Caenorhabditis elegans: one gene and its partners. The protein of the gene in region 3 purifies or fractionates together with the protein of the main gene of each other region. This does not show direct contact. Each region holds a gene or a part of one and is shown on either strand. Other genes may lie near its edges. The genes, in order: F43C11.8, rpac-40 and rpoa-2.

Evidence for each region.
Region 1: the proteins of rpoa-2 (region 3) and F43C11.8 fractionate together in Caenorhabditis elegans (co-fractionation; one large-scale study listed by BioGRID). This does not show direct contact.
Region 2: the proteins of rpoa-2 (region 3) and rpac-40 fractionate together in Caenorhabditis elegans (co-fractionation; one large-scale study listed by BioGRID). This does not show direct contact.

The regions. Positions count from the first base shown.
Region 1 is NC_003280.10:2,330,724-2,334,955, reverse strand, and holds F43C11.8 (RING-type domain-containing protein), read right to left. Parts: upstream 2,437-4,232; coding exon 2,361-2,436; intron 2,316-2,360; coding exon 2,149-2,315; intron 2,037-2,148; coding exon 1,968-2,036; intron 1,442-1,967; coding exon 877-1,441; intron 832-876; coding exon 762-831; intron 711-761; coding exon 686-710; 3' UTR 618-685; downstream 1-617. Other genes in the region: ZK1240.1 (RING-type domain-containing protein), read right to left, coding at 3,242-3,262, 3,314-3,354, 3,406-3,715, 3,770-3,824, 3,874-4,061.
Region 2 is NC_003283.11:4,197,391-4,204,209, forward strand, and holds rpac-40 (DNA-directed RNA polymerases I and III subunit RPAC1), read left to right. Parts: upstream 1-2,094; 5' UTR 2,095-2,100; coding exon 2,101-2,184; intron 2,185-2,903; coding exon 2,904-3,583; intron 3,584-4,626; coding exon 4,627-4,730; intron 4,731-4,782; coding exon 4,783-4,899; intron 4,900-6,053; coding exon 6,054-6,169; 3' UTR 6,170-6,306; downstream 6,307-6,819. Other genes in the region: algn-5 (dolichyl-phosphate beta-glucosyltransferase), read left to right, coding at 1-5, 835-1,023, 1,670-1,702.
Region 3 is NC_003279.8:9,280,520-9,288,618, reverse strand, and holds rpoa-2 (DNA-directed RNA polymerase I subunit RPA2 homolog), read left to right. Parts: upstream 1-2,042; 5' UTR 2,043-2,056; coding exon 2,057-2,230; intron 2,231-2,285; coding exon 2,286-2,429; intron 2,430-2,591; coding exon 2,592-3,427; intron 3,428-3,829; coding exon 3,830-4,256; intron 4,257-4,485; coding exon 4,486-4,611; intron 4,612-4,666; coding exon 4,667-4,947; intron 4,948-5,133; coding exon 5,134-5,925; intron 5,926-6,374; coding exon 6,375-6,483; intron 6,484-6,534; coding exon 6,535-6,732; intron 6,733-7,013; coding exon 7,014-7,310; 3' UTR 7,311-7,696; downstream 7,697-8,099. Other genes in the region: prom-1 (FBXO47 ARM repeats region domain-containing protein), read right to left, coding at 1-75, 132-308, 355-482, 529-678, 722-832, 878-997, 1,046-1,172. UniProt on the Caenorhabditis elegans protein: DNA-dependent RNA polymerase catalyzes the transcription of DNA into RNA using the four ribonucleoside triphosphates as substrates. Second largest core component of RNA polymerase I which synthesizes ribosomal RNA precursors.

The DNA of each region.
Region 1 (4,232 bases), on a different chromosome or scaffold from region 3:
ATTGGCCAAATGGCATATTGCCGGAATTGAAAACTTTTGGCAAATAGGCAAATCGGCAAATTGCTGCACTTGAAAATTTCCGGCAAATCGGCAAATCGGCAAATTGCCGGAATTTAAAACTAACTTACCAGTTTGCCGAATTTGCCGGAAAAACGGCAACTGTGGAACATTTTTTGCCAAATTGTGGTCTTGCACATTTTTTTGGAAGTTTCAGAATTTCAATTTTAATCGGTAAAATTGTACGCATCCTATGAATCTTCTTATATCTATTTTGAAATTGCCAAAATTGAAAATTTCCGGCAAATTGACGCAGTTGAAAATGTCTTCAAATCGGCAAACCGGAAAATTGCCGGAATTAAAAAATACCGATGAATTGGCAAACCAGCAAAATGCCGAAATTGATAATTTTCGGCAAATCGACAAACCGGCAAATTGCTGAAATTAAAAATTTCCGGCAATCGGCAAATTGCCAAAATTGAAAATCTCCAGCAAATTGCCGCATTTGAAAATTTCCGGCAAATCAGCAAACCGGCAAATTTGCCGATTTGCCGAATTTGTAGAAAAAAAACTCTGAAAAAGATTGGCCCATGTCTGTTCGCTTTTGAAGCGCAACAAAATCATCAATCACATTTTTATTTATGTACAAACATTTTCAATTAAATATCCTATAAAACCGTCGTTGGCATCAATCAGAGCAGCTAGCAGGTTGTCTGAAAAAAAAAACTTTTATATAAAAATTCATATTTCTCTCGTTAGCTTACCTCCTAGCCCTGCAAAATTCTTCAAACTCGCGAGACAAATTGTTGTCAATTCTAGAAACTTTCGTGACTTCTGAAAAATCCAATTTTTCCAATCAATATTTTTTCAAAGACCTACGTATGACAAGCCTATCCATCTCTGGAAAAATCAGTGCTGCGTCAAAAACTTCAGGCTCAACATCAGCAAATTCAGTCCAGAGCTCATTCTCGCTGCTCACTTCCAGCGCAGAATTCACCGCGAGCAAATCTGCATTGCTCATTTTCATAAACAGCTTCAGCTCCGCACTTTTTCGCTTTTGCCGGTTCAAGGATTCCGATAGCTCTGCGATGAGCAGGTCGTTCGTGAAAAAGTTAGTTTCCGCGATGTTCTGAAGCGTCGCAAGAGCATCGTTTTCGAGAGCATCCAAGGTTTCTCGTATTGAAGCGTAGAAGGCTATTATCGAAACCTTTTTCTCTTGAAATACCTCCCCATCGTCGAGATTTGTTAGCTGAGCTGTTCCGATCTTTTCGATATTCGCATCAATTTTACTTGCCAGGTCTTCGGATCTTGAAAGCTTCCCGCTCAGAAACTGTCTCAACTTTGCCGCTTCTGATTGTAGTAGGCCTCGATTGTGTCCGGCGTGAGCTCCAAACTCTTCGCAGGTACGGCACATGAGCTTATCGCTAGATGAGCAGGTGGGCTCCTGGAAAGAATGCTAGTTTCTCAGGCAAGAAGAGGTGCATTTGGCTCTAGCTTCTGGCCCAAGTTTGGCGCAAAAAATAATAACTTGTTTCAGACGTTGAGCAAAAGTTGGGCAAAACTTGGATTCAAACTCCACCAAAGTTTAAAAAAAGGTTCAACCAACTCTGCCAAACTTCTACATAAGTTTGAAACGAAATAAGAGAAGTTTGGGCCAAACCTTTGGTGCAGCCTGAATCCGAGTTTTGCCAAAGTTTTGCCCAAGTTTAGCAAACTTCTGATCCAAGCTAATATTTTTTGGGCAAAACTTGGCCAAGAATTTATAGCCAAATGCCGAGCTTGACCACAAAAGTTGAGCAAAATCTAGGCCAAGACTTTGGCCTGAACTAGGCTCCCACGTACCATTATTTTTTGGCTATTAACCTCGCACTCTCAGAAACCGGCGAGTTGTCGGCTGCTAATAGTAAGTTTTTTAAAAAATTTTTTACAGTTGACATTTTGGGGCCTATCAAAACCTATAAAGAACTCACAATGCACACAAATTCCGCAAAATTGTACTGGTGAGAAGCGCATTTTGGCGGTGAATCAATGGGATCTTTCTGAAAAATTTTATATTTGTATATAAATATATATATGTATATATAAATATATATATGTATATATATATATATATATATTTATATGTATAACTTTATTTCTAGAAAAAAAAACCTCTTCAGTTCTAGTCTTAGCGTGTTCAACTGCCTGTAACAATGCAAAATTCTTCTGCAAATCCTTCACTGTACTGACATTAGTTGCTTCCCGGCAGAATGGACATAAAATCATAGAGTTTTGGAGCAATTTTTCTGCACAACCATGGCAAATTGTGTGGCCACATCCTGAATTTTTATTTTTTAATTTTAGGAAAGGTAGCAAAAGCTTACTCAAAATCCTAGGAATATTTTCATCGGTGGCACTTGAGAAATCTTCGTTGCAAATTTCACACTCAATAAATGACATTTCGGAACTGTACGGAGGGTTGGAAAAATAAACGAATGGTCTTGGGAGTTCTCCCGCTGACACTGCGATAAGACGATAACAATTTGGTGACCAAGAATACACGGAAACCGGTAAATATTTTTTGCTGACTCATATCAGTTTAGATACACCATTTTCAACACTATTGCTAATTCTATGTGGTCAGTTACTACGGATTTCGTAATAGTTTTTCGTAAAATAAAACGTTTTCAGAGCCTGGCGCCTGCCTGAAACCTGCCGAGCACCTATAGCACTGTTTGTACGGGAGCGGGCTTATTTTAGAAAAATCGAAAAATCGAAAATTTTCGTTTTTTTTTTTGATTTTTCGAAATTTTTTTCTCTTATCAATAGAAAAAAAATTAGATAAAAATCGTATTTTATGATTAATTTTTAGATCATTTTTTTTTTCGATTTTTGGATTTTCCGGAAAATCGAAAAAACGTAAATTTTTGTTTTCCGATTTTCAAGTTTTCGAGACTTAGGCTTAGGCTTATGCTTAGGCTTTGATTTAGGCTTAGCCTTTGGCTTAGGATGAAGCTTAGGCTTAGACTTAAGCTTAAATGTAGGCTAGGCGGAGAAAAAAGAGATAAAAAATAAATCCTAGAAAATATGAGAACTCAGAAAAATAAAATACCAAAAAATTAGACATTTCAAAAATTTATATTGCCCGAAAAGGGCCAAAAAAATCAGGATTGGAGAGTTGAATTTTCGGTTGTTTATCGGTATTTGTACAAAGTAAAAAATGATTGAAAACTTTAAAACCAAAAAACTGCCTTGTTTGGAACATTCAAAGCCACAGGGTTATATTCTGAAATTCATGTACCTATAATACAAATGCTAAATTATCATTAAAACCTACATCTGGCTCCAGAGAGCTTGACATTGAAGCATTTGCCACATCTACAAAACTTCCTGACATTGATCTACCAACTTCCTTCCAAATCCACTTACCCACAGCTAACCTGTTCACTTCTGGAAAATTTAATGCTACATCAAACTGAATAGGCTCAACTTCTGTATTTTCCGAGTCATCCCAGAGCTGAATTTCTGAATTTAGAGCTAACAAATCCGCGTTGCTCATTCCCAGAAACGACTTTAATTTCTCGTTTTTCAATTTCTGGGTTTCCAGGGATTCCGACAATTCTTCTAGTAGTAATTTATTGCTAGCTGAATTGGATTCTGCAATTTCGCGTAGTTTTTGATTTGCAAGGGCTTCCTGGGCATCTAAGGTCTCTCGTATTGAGGTATAGTAGACGGATATCTGAAAATGTTCTGGAATTGTATTTCGTCCCCGTTTCAAAAAAAAATCACTAACCAAATCTTTTTTATCTTGAAACACCTTCCCATCTACTTGATTTGTTTGCTGGGCGCTGAAATTTCAGCGAGCTAAAATTGTGATCTACCGCTTTTTAAACTAACCTGTCAACCTCTTCAATGTTCTTGTCAATTTGAACAATCTGATCTTCGGACTTTAAAAGCTTATCTTTGAGCAACGTTCTCAATTTCAAAGCTTCCGTCTGTAGGAGGCCCTTCGAGTGTCCGGCGTGAACTCCAAACTCCTCGCAAGTTCGGCACATTAGCTTTTCGTCGGAGGAGCAGTTGGGGTCCTGGAAGGAGAATTAAGGAAGGTTCTCGAAGATTCCAGAATTTTTCTTAAATTTCCCAGAAGGTTCTAGATCATTCTAGAGTTTTTTTGAAAATTGCTAGAAGGTTCTAGAACATTCCAAAATTTTCTAAAATTTTCCAGAATGATCTAGAGCATTACAGAATTTTCTCGA
Region 2 (6,819 bases), on a different chromosome or scaffold from region 3:
CGAGGGTGAGATTTTAGCTTATTTTTAGCTAAAAATCTCCAATTTTGGCCTACTTTTTGGGGTCGTAGTGGTCGGAAATCGACTATTATATATATATATATATGTTCGAATTTTTTTTTCTTTTTGGGAGAAAATGTTTAAAAAATTGGCAGACTTTTTTGTCGACAAATTCGGCAAGTCGGCAAGTTGCCGGTTTGCCGATTTGCCGGAAATTTTAAATTCTCGAAAATTGCCGGATTCCAATTTGCCGCAAGTTTTTACAGGGATTTTTCTTAACCTCTGAAATTTCCAAAAATGTGCAAAACCACAATTTGCCGAAAATTTTCGGCAATTGCCGTGTTTCAGGCGAATTCGTCAAATCGACAATTTGTCGGTTTGCCATTTTTCCTGAAATTTTAAATTCAGCAAAATTGCCGATTTGCCGGAAATTTCAATTCCGGCAATTTGCCGATTTGCCGGAAATTTTCAATTCCGGAAGTTTGCCGATTTGCCGGAAATTTTCAATTCCGGCAATTTGCCGATTTGCCAGAAATTTTCAATTCCGGCAATTTGCTGATTTGCCGGAAATTTTCAATTCCGGAAGTTTGCCGATTTGCCGGAAATTTTCAATTCCGGAAATTTGCCGATTTGTCGATTTGCCGGAAATTTTCAATAACGGCAATTTGTCAATTTACCGGATATTTCAATTCCGGCAAATTGCTGATTTTCCTGAAATTTTCAATTCCGGCAAATTGCCGATTTGCCGAAAATTTTCAATTCCTGATTTAAGATTTTAGCTAAAATTCGTCAAATTAAAGTAAAAAAAACCAAAAAAAAAAAACGTTTTTTTTTCAGATTTTCCCAGTACTTCACATTGAGCGCTGGGCTTTTGACGTTGAGCTCATCTTCCTTTGCGAAAGATGGACGGTCCCTGTGAAAGAAGTTTCAGTTCGATGGACTGAAATCGAAGGGTCTAAGATTACTCCAATTTGGTCTTGGCTTCAAATGGGCCGAGATCTTGTGCTCATTTGGTTCAGATATACGGTAAAATTGCAGTTTTTTAGGCCTTTTTTGAAGTGGTGTCAGGATGTCCCATCGCTCTACTGCACACGAAAATGGCGGGAAAATATTTTTTTTTTAATTTGTGACGTCACAGCGTATCTTGAATAATTTTCTTAATTTTAAGCGCCGATTTTTGTCAAACTTAAAAAAAAAATAAATAAATAATATCTTTCTCATTTTAATTTATAAAATTTGATATTTTACCAAAATTCTTAAAATTTAGTGGAAAAATTGAAGCAAAATACACAATAAAAATGAATAATTTCAATTGAAACGAATTTTTTTTTTCGAAAAACCATTTAAACCGTTCATTTACCAAGTTTCCGTGAATTTTTTAAAAATGATTTTCCAAATAAATTTTTGTTTAAATTGAAATTATTCATTTTTATTGTATTTTGCTTCAATTTCTCCACTAAATTTTAGAATTTTTGTAAAATATCAAATTTTATAAATTAAAATGAGCCAGTTTTTAAAAAAATTTCACGAAAATCGGCGCTTAAATTGAACAAAAGCAATTATTCAAAATGCGCTGTGTGACGTCACAAATTTTCAAAAAATATTTTCCCGCCATTTTCGTGTGCGGTAGAGCGACCTGACAATATTTTTGACATTAAAATTTTATTTTCAGATCGGAATTTGGACGGATGACCAGCCTCGCTAAATGCTCCACAAAAAATCGATACGAGATTTTCAAAAAATCTTGCCCAAAAATTTCCTTTTTCTTCTAGTAATATCTATGCTTTAATCACTTTTTTTCCCTGCTTTTTCCTGATTTTTTTTCCAATTTATGGCTGGTTGTAAATATCCATGATTCCTTGAAAATGTGATTCTATTCTTTTTTCTTTTCGCATTTTTATTATTTATTTATTTACTTGTTGGTTTTTCTTTTTTTTCTCTCTTGTTCTGGGGACTCTGGGTTTATTTTTAATGCTAAATTCAAAAAAATATCGATTTAAATGTTTTTTTCCATTTTTTTGTTTTTTTTTTCGTTTTCCCAGCGATTTTATATCTTTCCATAGAGTTTTCAGGCGAAAAAAATCAAAAAATTTCCAGGCAAAAATGGTCAAAAAAGCGGCGGCAACTAGCAAGCAGGCTACCTATCACAGTGATGAGATCGAGATGAAAGAGGAAGTTGTGCTCAATGTAGGATTTTTTGAATATTTCAAGGATGCAATCGCGCTCCATTGGGAAACGAGAGCGCTCCGCCCCCAAACGTTGGGTCTCGTTAGGAAATCAGGCGGCAAAAGCATTTTCCGTATTTTTTTAAAATTTCGTCCAGAAAAATTTTAAAAAATTCCAATTTTTTATTGAAAATCGTTATTTTTCCGAAAAAAATTGTTATACAAATTTACGAAAAAAGGCGGCGATTTATCAACTGCCGGAAATTAGTGAAAGATTACTTTTTTTCAAAAAAAATTGAAAAAATTTAAAATTGTGAGATAAACCAAGAAAAAATTAACTTTCGATTTTTTCAACTTTTTGGAAAAAAAAAACACAAACCAAAGAAAAAATGAACAAAAAAAAAGCGGATTGCGTGTATTTTTCACCACGCGTAACGTCGTTGTCGCGATGTCCTCCGGACCGAAGAGCAAGAAGCTAAAAACGCCCACGCTTGAACAGCAAATCGAAGATGGAGTCAATGCTTATATTCACTCGCAGCAGTTTGAGTTCAACTCTCCACCACGGGAAAATTTTTTTGCCAATTTTTTCGTCTCAAAAAAAAAAGGAAAAAAAAACCAAAAAACCGACATTTCTGGTCAATATTTTTTTTTGTTTTTTTTTTTTGAAGAAATTCGATTTTTTGCTTTTCGGCCGAAATTTTTATTTTTTTAAATTTTCCAAAAATTCTTCTTCAATTCCAGACCTACGACGAATGCACCGATTATGTCGAATACGACGATACAAAACAATTCGATATCAACGAGTATTGCGATCAAATCCAAGTGGCAATGGTCAATGAATCCGACGATGGAATGACATTGGAATTTGATATTACTCGCATTGAAGCTCCAATTGCAAATGCTCTTCGCCGTGTGCTCATCGCCGAAGTGCCAACGATGGCTCTCGAGAAGATTTATCTCTATCAGAATACTTCTGTAATTCAAGATGAAGTACTCTGCCATCGTTTGGGTCTTCTGCCGCTTCGTGTGGATCCACGTGGATTTCAGTTTCCAAAGGAAAAAGTCGTTGGAATCAATGAGAAGGGAGTGGATTGTGACGAGGAGCCCGAGGGAGATCCCGCGAAAAATTTGATCTTCAAGATTAATGTTTCGTGTACGAAGAATCGAAATGCGGTGCCGACGGCTACCGATCCGAAGCAGCTTTATCACAATAGCTCGGTCTACTCACGTGCTTTTGAATGGGTACCGATTGCTGATCAGAAGACGCAATTCACCGAAGAAGCCCATCCACGTATGGTTTCTGATGATATTCTCGTTGCCAAGCTTCGTCCTGGACAGGAAATTGAAGCCAGTTGCCATGCGGTCAAGGGAATCGGACGGGATCATGCAAAGTTCTCACCGGTTGCTACTGCGTCCTATAGGTGTGAATTTTGAAGCTGCTGAAATATTTTCTTTTGATTTTTGCGGTTTTCCGGAAAATTGAAAATTTTTCGTTTTTCGATTTTCTCGGAAAAAGTGAAAAATTGGGGGGAAAAAAATTATAATTCATATAATATATTTTCGGTTTTACGGGACCCCAAATTCTGAGAATGCGTATTACACAAAATTTTTGACGCGCAAAATATCTCGTAGCGAAAACTACAGTAATTCTTTAAATGACTACTGTAGCTTTTAAAGAGTTACTGTAGTTTTCGCTACGAGATATTTTGGGGAAGTTAAATAATTTTTGTACATCTACCTATATTCAGTATATTTAGACTGTTTTCTGTAATTTTGTGGAAAAAAAAGTTCGAAAATTTCAAGCCAGAGGTGAATTTTTTTGTCGACAAATTTGACAAATTGCCAATTTTTTTTTATTTTCGGCAATTTTCATTTTCGGCGATTTGCCGGAAATTTTCATTTTCGGCGATTTGCTGGAAATTTTCATTTTCAGCAATTTGCCGATTTGTCGATTTGCCGGAAATTTTCATTTTCGGCGATTTGCTGGAAATTTTCATTTTCAGCAATTTGCCGATTTGTCGATTTGCCGGAAATTTTCATTTTCGGCGATTTGCTGGAAATTTTCATTTTCAGCAATTTGCCGATTTGTCGATTTGCCGGAAATTTTCTTTTTCGGCAATTTGCCAGTTTGACGATTTGCCGGAAACTTCGATTTCGGTTAATTGCCGGTTTACCGATTTGCCGGAATTTTCATTTTCTGCAATTTGCCGGTTTACCGATTTGCCGGAATTTTCATTTTTGACAAATTGACGATTTGCCGGTTTGCCGGAAATTTTCATAGAATTTGCCTACTTTTCAAAATACATGTAGGAACATTTATAGGATGCGTACAATTTAGCCGATTGAAATTGAAAATCTGAAATTTCCAAAAAAAATGTGCAAAAACACAATTTGCCGGTTTGCCGGTTTGCCAATTTGACCTTCAAATTCTTCCAATTTTTCAAAAAATTTCTTTTCATTCCAGACTGCTTCCAACGATCCGCTTGAACGCCGAAATTTCGGGTGAAGCTGCCGAACGTCTCAAATCAGTATTCAGCGAGGGAGTTATTGCTATCGAGAAGAAAGGAGGTAGATCATAAATCAATTTTTAGGAAACACACCAATTTTTTTAAAATTTCAGCCAAACGAATTGCTGTTGTCAAGGATGCTCGCAAGGATACGTGCAGTCGTAACGTGTTCCGCCACGAAGATCTGTCGAAAGTTGTTCAATTGGGAAAGAACAAACAGCATTTCATTTGTTAGTGGCAGGGCTGAATTCGAAAAAAAAAACTGAAATTCATGAATTTTTCGCATTTTTTTGGTTTTTTTTCCAAAAAAAAATACACGAAAAGTTGTCGAAAAACAAACCCCAATTTTGTTAAAGTTTGAAACCTTATTTTGAAAATTTTAAATATTTTTGCCAAATTTTAACTCTTTTTTTTAATTTTGAGAGTGGTTTTTTTGGAAAATGTATAAGTAATTTTTTTTGGAGCCGGAGTTTTTATATATTTTTTTTCGCTTTTTTTTTCGAAAAAAAAAGAATTTTCGCCAGAAACATGGTACAGACGTGCCGTTTTTCGATTTTTTTTTTGAAAAAATTTTTAAAACGAAAAGTTGAAAAATTGGAAATTGGGAAAAGAAAATTTTTGAGTTTTCGAACTTAAAAAAAACGAAAAAATTTTTAAAAAAAATGTTCAGAAAATTAAAATTGAGCAGAAACTGGGGAAAATTCGAAAAATTCTGAAAAATTCACAAAAAAAACCCATTTTTTCGAACTTTTTTCCGATAAAATTACAAAAATCCTAAATTTTCTACTTTTCAAGGGCCCGAATTTTTGTGGAAAATTAGTAAAAATCGGTTAAAATTAACCATTAAATATGATTTTTTCTAATGGGGTTATTCAAGTAATGTAGCAATTTTTTTTTTTTTTCGCAAAAATTTTTTTACACTTTTTAATTTTCCGACACTACTTGAATAACCCCATAAATCAATTTTATCGAAACTGATGAGAAAAAAAAATTTAACGAAAAAAAAACACAAAATTTCGTCGTCAGAAATTTTTCGATTTTTCCCAAGTTTTCTAATTTTTTTGGTTGAGAAAGTCGATTTTTTTTAAATATAAAAAAAAAACCGAAAAAAACGTAGGAAAAAAGAGGGAAAAACTATAAACTTATTTAAAAATAAATTATATTTCAATGAGAAAAATGAAAATTTCTTCAAAAATACAAAAAAAAACCAAAAAACCATTTAAAAAAATTGCCAAAATTTCAAATTTCTTTTTTTTTAAACTGAAAAAAAAACACACAAAAAATTTTTCACAATTTTTACCGGCAAATTCGGCAAATTGGCAATTTGCCGGTTTGCCGATTTGCCGGAAATTTTGAATTCCGGCAATTTTAGTTTTTTTTTCAGTCAGTGTAGAGTCGACTGGAGCTCTGAAATCGTCTGAATTGGTGGTTGAAGCCTGTAAAGTCATGGAAATCAAGTGTCGTTCTCTTCGCAAACAAATCGAGGCTCTTATTCAATAATCCCCGTTTTTTTGAAATTTTGTTACTATTTTTTTATTCGTTATCCTTTTTTTTTGTTGTTGTTTGACTACCCCTCAAGTTGTTACACTGTTCCGTCACTTTCTTTTTTCTTAATTTGAATGAATTTTCGTGGCTTTTTTACCTTCAAATATCTCCTAGTTGGCCAAATGGTTGAAATTTCCATTTTTTATTTGTTTTTTTTGTAGTTTTTTAACAGGTTCATAGAAAAATCATTCATTTTTTCGGTTTTTTCAGAAAAAAATTATTAAAAAATGGAAAAACTCCAAAATTTTGAGCTATTTTCTCAAAATATTGGAAAACGAATTCTTTTCGATTTTCAGAAAAATTAGAAACAAAACTTTAAAAATCATCAATTTTTGTCTATCCTGATGAAAAAATATAATTTTCTTCAAAAAATTAAAAAAAAAAACCAAAATTTGAATAAAAAATTGTAAAACTAACATTTTCGGTTTTCCGGAAAATCGAAAAAGCGAAAAATCTTTTCTTTGCAGAAAAAAAGAAAAATCAATTTTGTTCTAAAAAATATCCTTTTTCGAAATACTGGAAAAACGGGGCAGTTTTCGAATTTTTTTCAGAAAATTGAAAAAAAAACGATTGTTTTTAGAAAACTAGCAAAAATTCAATATTTT
Region 3 (8,099 bases):
GAAATATTTATTAACACCATGAGCTGGGTCCGACGATCCATTATTCAAGAACAAATTCAATGTCTTTTTCCGCAACTGAAAATATTTAATATTTAAAACTGGAAAATATGTATGTTCTCCTAGATACAAACCTTCATCTCTTCGCGAAGAATTGGCATATTATCTAATTCTTCCAGCTCTCGATCCGTTTCGGGGGTGAAAAGAACAGCACTCAAGTCATCTTTCAGACCACTAACTAGCGCCAAGAGCATGGCAACGATGTCATCAATTTGCTCCAATACAATGTCTTCGTCTGGGCGATTTGTGAACTGATAAATTAATTTTTCAAAATAATCAAGGCATAACGAATAGTACCGCATGAATCATCTTGCCAAGTCCGGCAATCAGAGCACCTGACTCGTACGCCAGTGTCATAAACGATTTCAGACAATCTAGCCTCGCTTTCCATTCATAATTTATCGTCAGGCACCTCACGAGTTTTCCTGAAATTAACAAGAAAGTTTGAGACAAATCGTTGATGTTACTGACCCATATCAAAGAAGGGATCCAATGGTTTAGAACTTGGCGCAATGTCAATGTCTAACAGCCAGCGACGACGAAAAGCTCCACTTCTCATATATGCTCCGATTGTTTGATTCCAGCAGGAAGATGTCATTACCATGCGACTTAGAAGATTGTCTGAATAATTAATTCTACAAGTTAAATATATTTTACCACATACATGGTGTTCTTGTCAATATGTGGATGACGGCATCATAAGGTAGTTTACCGAAACTTCCATACGACGTCTCCACCTCAATCGACAATCTTGTAGTAAGCTTTGAACATACTTCTGGAATTAAAAATGTATGTTGGAGAATACTTGTGATTTTTTTACTGTGCTCATCGAGATGAAATGCTCGTTGATGATTAATAGCATCTGGCGATGAAAAAGGTAATCCATGTGTTTGCTGTGTTCTTCGTCTTTTACGAGAACATCGTTCCTCTGTGGCTGAATCTGTAAATGTAAACTCTGATTGAATGCGTTGAAGTGAAGAAGTACTACTTCTTTTTCTTAGAGACACTGAAGCATTGCGATGATTTTCTAGACTTTGTCTGGAAACTGGACTGTTTTGTGTTGTTCGATCAGCACTCCGCAAATTGTAAGTCCGCCTGGGTGTTGATTTATCCATTTTGGATTCTGAAAATGGCTTGATATTATCAAGTAATAGACCAGAAAGAACTTGACATTAAAAATATTTCACATAAATGATCAAAAACTAAAAAAACAAGAAAAAACAAAAAAAAATGAGGCAAAATATAGGTCACTCGCATTTAGGCGGGAATTCGAATTGATTTGAAATTTGAACACACCCCCACTACAGTACCCATAAAAGTCGTGGCGAGACCCATATGACAAAAGCAATGCGCCTTTAATTCGTTCTTTGGCTTCGATCGATTTTTCGGTTCTTTTCGAACTTTTCTTCACTTTCCTCTTTTTTAATCGATTATTTTGAAGCACTTGTTCATTTAAATTTTATTCCTTATAAATTAAACTGCTGCAGAAACTCAAAATCGTTTCCTTAACTTCATGGCTGTTAAAATCCGCCGTTATTTTCTGAATAATACGTTCGTTTAGTGGGCCGATAACTTCCTGCGGTTTTCTCATCGATTTGTTTGATTAAATTTTATTTGCAAGTTCATAATAAATGTATTTATAACCAATATTTGCGTTTTCGCGATTTTTTCGTATAATATGTCCCAATACTTATTTTGAGTTTGTTTCATGAAAGTTTTCGTATTCCTTTATCATTGGAGAAATAATCAAGTTCAGGCTGTTATCGTCTAGTTTTCATCTAACTCTTCATTTTTCTTTTCCCTCTCTTTTCCCCTCGAATTGTGGCCGAACTGAACAGTGGCTGTCGCTCCTTCTCTTCCATTTCTAATTTTTACTGCTCGCCAACCCCTAAATCTTTTATTTAATAATCAAATACATTTGAATATGTAGTTTTCATTTTATTATAACATTTGTATTAGTTCGAAAAATTATTCATTTAAACTTTCAAGTTTTCAGGCGATGGACTGCGACATAGCGTCGTATCATGTCGATTCATTCGATTTTCTTGTTTCAAAAGGATGTCAATTTGCTGCCCAAGCTGTTCCTGCAGAAAAATTCCGTCTGAAAAACGGCGATGCTGTTACAATGAAGTTCACGTCGGCTCAACTTCATAAGCCAACGCTAGATACCGGAGTAAGTATTTGATCTGCAATCTTAAATATTGAAAATTCTAAAAATCAATTTTCAGGCGAAGCTCACCAGTGACACTCTTCCTTTACTTCCCGCGGAATGTCGACAACGTGGACTGACATATGCTGGAAATTTAAAAGTTGGAATCGATGTCCATGTGAACGGAAGCCGGTTGGACATTATTGAAATTATTTTGGGAAAGGTAATTCTATAAATACTGCGTTGAAAGTAAGAATTGGGTCACCTTCCTTCGAAAAAGTTAAAAGTTAAGAAATAAAATACTTGTTTCGAGGTTAAATTTTCATTTTCTGAATTCTCCAAGCAAATATTAGAAAAAGAAAATACTATACAACAAAATATTTAGGTACCAATTATGCTCCGATCCGAAGGTTGCCATCTCCGTGGAATGTCTCGAAAGGAACTTGTAGTTGCCGGTGAAGAGCCAATCGAAAAAGGAGGATATTTCATTGTAAATGGATCAGAAAAAGTGATTAGATTGCTGATCGCGAATCGAAGAAACTTTCCAATCGCAATTATCAGAAAAACATTCAAAGAGAAAGGAAAATTGTTCTCGGAATTTGGAGTTATGATGAGAAGTGTTAAGGAAAATCATACGGCTGTAATGATGACTCTTCATTATTTGGACACTGGAACTATGCAGTTAGCACTTCAATTCAGACGGGAAATCTTTTATGTACCGTTGATGTATATTGTGAAGGCTTTAACTGATAAGAATGATGCAGTGATTAGTGCTGGATTCAAAAGAGGAAGAAATCAAGATCAATTCTATTCATCTTGCATTCTCAATATGCTTGCTCAATGTCAAGAAGAAGAAATTTTGAATCAAGAAGCCGCCATTAGAGCCATCGGTTCTCGTTTCAGAGTAGCCGTATCTGATAGAGTTGCTCCATGGGAAGATGATCTTGAAGCTGGTCGATTCATCATTCGGGAATGTGTACTTATACATTTGGATAGTGATGAAGAGAAATTCCATACTCTTGCGTACATGACACAGAAACTCATTGCACTTGTGAAAGGAGAATGTGCTCCAGAGACACCTGATAATCCACAATTCCAAGAGGCCTCTGTTTCAGGACATATTCTTTTGTTGATTCTGAGAGAACGAATGGAGAATATCATTGGAATGGTTAGGAGAAAATTGGAGTACATGAGTTCAAGGAAGGACTTCATTTTGACATCGTAAGTTCATTTACCAAAAATGTCCTAGAACTACCGATTTTTTAAAAATTAAGCATTCTGAAAATTTCTCAAAGAAGAATAGGCTATAATCTCAAATTTTGCCAATTTGTTAAAGTTGCCAAAGTACATTTTTATTTGATTATCACTCTTTAATGCATAATTTGGTAATTTATTATGTATTGTTCCGTTGTTTCGGAAGCTTTCTAACTGTAAGTCGACAATTTTGTGCACCCTTAGACGCACCTAAATCTACGTAAATGTACCTAATTCAATGAAACGACGACCAACATATGTATTAAAATATTTATTTGGTAGTTTTGGGTCATAAAAAAGAGCAAAGTCTCAGATTTCGGAGCTCTAACTTTTAAATCTTCCGTTTGGCATAAACATTCTAACTTTCAGCGCCGCTATTCTAAAAGCACTTGGAAATCATACTGGTGGTGAAATCACTCGTGGAATGGCATATTTCCTTGCAACAGGAAATCTTGTGACTCGTGTCGGTCTTGCTCTTCAACAAGAATCTGGTTTCTCAGTTATCGCTGAAAGAATCAATCAACTTCGTTTCGTTTCTCACTTCCGTGCAATTCATCGTGGTGCATTCTTTATGGAAATGCGAACCACAGATGTTAGAAAATTGAGACCAGAAGCATGGGGATTTATTTGTCCTGTACACACTCCTGATGGAGCTCCATGTGGTTTATTGAATCACGTAACTGCATCATGTAGAATTGTCACTGATCTCTCTGATAATTCAAATGTTCCGTCGCTTCTTGCTGAATTGGGAATGTATACACACAAAACTGTTGCATTGGCACCGCCAGGTGAAGAGGTAAAACAATTTATTAAAGTATAAAGCATATTTTAAAAATTTCCTTATATGAAAATAACACTTATTTCAGTTGAAATATTTGAAAAGGGCTCAGAAATAGCCTGGAAGTTGCAAATTGCAGAAAAACGAAGCTCGATAATTGGCAATCTGCAATTTCCAGGCAATTTTTAAGCTTTAAATGAAATAACCTTTAATAACTCTATTTTCAAATTTAAATCATAATTTACAGCTTTATCCAGTTCTAATGAATGGAAGATTCCTTGGATATGTTCCAATTACTAAAGCTGCTTCAATTGAGAGATATCTACGATGTGCAAAAGTTGCGAAAGATGCAAGAATTCCTTATACTTCGGAGGTACTGTTTTTCTAAACTATTTTGAAGAATGAATTATATTTTCTTTTTTTTTCAGATTGCACTTGTTCGTCGATCCACGGATATCAAGAATATTCAAACTCAATATCCAGGAATCTACATTCTCAGTGACGCTGGACGTCTCATTCGTCCAGTACGTAATCTAGCAATGGATGCTGTTGAACATATCGGAACTTTTGAACAAGTTTATCTCTCAGTTGTACTTGATCCAGAAGAGGCTGAACCAGGAGTCACTATGCATCAAGAATTGCATCCTTCTTGCTTATTTTCATTTGCTGGAAATTTAATTCCTTTCCCAGATCATAATCAGTCACCACGGTAAGTTTTCGTTAGAGTTTCCAGTTGTAGTAGTGGAGATTTAGTCTAAAAATATGACTTCAAAAAATTAGATTATTTTTAAATTTGCAAAATTTCTAAAAATTGGGACTTTTGAATCTTGATAGGTGAAAATTGAGTTTTCATCACTTTTTGACTTTAAATAAAAATAATTAAACGTTTTTCCAGTAATGTGTACCAATGTCAAATGGGTAAACAAACGATGGGAACCGCCGTACATGCATGGCATTCACGTGCTGACAACAAAATGTATCGTCTACAATTTCCACAACAACCAATGCTAAAACTGGAGGCTTATGAGAAATACGAAATGGATGAATATCCATTGGGTACAAATGCTTGTGTTGCTGTGATCTCCTATACAGGATATGATATGGAAGATGCTATGACAATCAATAAAGCATCATATCAAAGAGGTTTTGCACATGGAACAGTTATCAAAGTGGAGAGAATTAATTTGGTGACCGAGAGAGAACGAAAAACGATTTTCTATAGAAATCCCCGAGAAGAAATCAAAACCGTTGGACCAGATGGTTTGCCGATTCCAGGAAGACGATATTTCCTCGATGAAGTGTATTATGTCACATTCAATATGGAAACTGGAGATTTCAGAACTCATAAATTCCATTACGCTGAACCGGCATATTGTGGTTTGGTGAGAATTGTTGAACAAGGAGAAGGCGATTCTGGTGCAAAACATGCTTTGATTCAATGGAGAATTGAGAGAAATCCAATTATCGGTGATAAATTCGCTTCGAGACACGGACAAAAAGGAATTAATTCATTCCTATGGCCTGTTGAATCACTTCCATTCTCAGAAACCGGTATGGTACCTGATATTATTTTCAATCCTCACGGTTTCCCATCTCGGATGACAATCGGTATGATGATTGAGAGTATGGCTGGAAAAGCGGCAGCTACGCACGGAGAGAATTATGATGCATCGCCATTTGTTTTCAAGTAAGTTATTCACTGTTTGAAAATTTGAAAATAATTCTAAATCTCTAAAATTATTTTTCAAAATTAATTTTAAAAAATGGGCCGACTAATTTTTGAATTCCCGTGCAAATAAATATCAAATTGAAACACGGCTTGTCAATTTTTCTGACTTTTCCGTTAAAATAAATAATACATTCTTGTGGAAGTATCGATTTTTGGGCCAACTGTTTTTCAGATTCGACGAAGTTTTCTTTACGGAGAATGTCCTGAAAAATAGACTAACAGTGTTTAAAATTATATATTAAAAATAAAAACTGATCAATTTAACCAGTACCTTCAGTTTCGCGGAAATTCGAAAATAATTATTTTTTTGCAAAATAGAAAAATTTAAAAAAATTAGAAAAGTTTTTAACAGTTACAGTTACGTTTTTTCGATTCTTTTTCCATTTAACAATGTTTTGATTTTTCAGTGAAGACAACACAGCAATCAACCATTTTGGAGAATTACTCACAAAAGCAGGTTATAATTACTACGGTAACGAAACATTTTATTCGGGAGTTGATGGACGTCAAATGGAGGTTTATATTAGAATTTATCGTTTGAAAAATTAACATTTTTCATAATTACAGATGCAAATCTTCTTTGGAATTGTTTATTATCAAAGACTTCGTCATATGATTGCTGATAAATTCCAAGTGAGAGCCACTGGACCAATTGATCCAATTACTCATCAACCAGTAAAAGGAAGAAAAAAGGGAGGAGGTATTCGATTTGGAGAAATGGAAAGAGATGCTATTATTGCACATGGAACATCTTTCGTGTTGCAGGTACTTTTATTTCTATGTTTAAAAATAACACCGAAAATTTTTTAGATTTTTCTGTTTTTTTCAGGGAAAAAAACTGAAAAATCGGAAAAAAATGTTCAGAAAACTAAAAAAAAAGTTAATCTTAAAAGAAGAAAATTGGTCAAAGTTTACATCTGTTTTTTTTTTGAAAAATCGAAGTTTTGAACAAAATTGGAAAACTAGTAGTTTTCGATTTTTCAATACTCAAAAAAATCGAAAAAGCGACAACACTAACTTCATTGTACTGATATTTTAATTTCCAGGACCGTCTTCTCAACTGTTCGGATCGTGACGTAGCATACGCTTGTCGTCGTTGTGGATCCCTATTGTCCGTGTTGATGTCCAGTCGTGCAGGATCACATTTATTGAAAAAGAAAAGGAAAGACGACGAACCATTGGACTACACGGAAACTCAACGATGTCGTACGTGTGATAAAGATGATCAAGTTTTCCTGCTTCAAGTTCCTCGTGTCTTCCGTTATTTGACTGCCGAGTTAGCTGCAATGAATGTGAAAATCAAGTTGGGCATCGAACATCCATCCAAAGTAACTGGAAGTTAATTTCATTATTTTTTCAACATTTCCTTCATAATAGAAATACTGAAAACTTCATGCAGTTCTCTAAACTTTGATTTTTAAAAAATTTCTTTTACACTACACTTTAATATTCTCCGTCCCCTATCCTACAACAATCTCACGGTTTTTGTCTATTTTTTGTTATTTTCTCTTTGCAAGTTGTTTTATTGTTGAACCTTTTCTGAAATTTTTGATTTTTAGCCGATTTTAGCAATTTTTGTTACTTTTTTGTTTACCCTCATCCAATTTATTCTGTTTCTATTGTTCACTTTTTGTTTTGTTTTTTGTTTGAGTTTTTGTTCCTCAATATTCCATAAAGTTGTTGTTATACATTTTATATGTTTAAGTAAATCACATTAAGCACTCTGCAACCTTCCCCTCTCTCCACACACTTCTTTGATTTTTTTTGCTAAATTTCCGTTTTTCCGCGCACTGCCTCTTTTTCCACTCTCTCTTTGCTCTTGCTCTGTGCTCTTTCTGCTCCAATAAGCCCCTGGCGGCCATGTTCCCATTTTCCCCGCGCTCCCCCATACCTCTGTGCCTTTCTTTTTCATTTTTTTTTCGTGGGTGAAAACTTCCTAGGTTATGACGTGGCATGTTCAAGGAGCATCGAGAGCTTTTTTTCTGTTTTTATTTTGCGGCAGAAACGTGGAACGGCACGTTTTTGATGTGTAAAAATCATGTCAGCATTTTTTTGAGAACAAAACGGCGATGGAAAAGCGAAAAACGTGTAATTCGAGACGAGAAGCCATAAACCTCTTTTTTGCAGGCTGT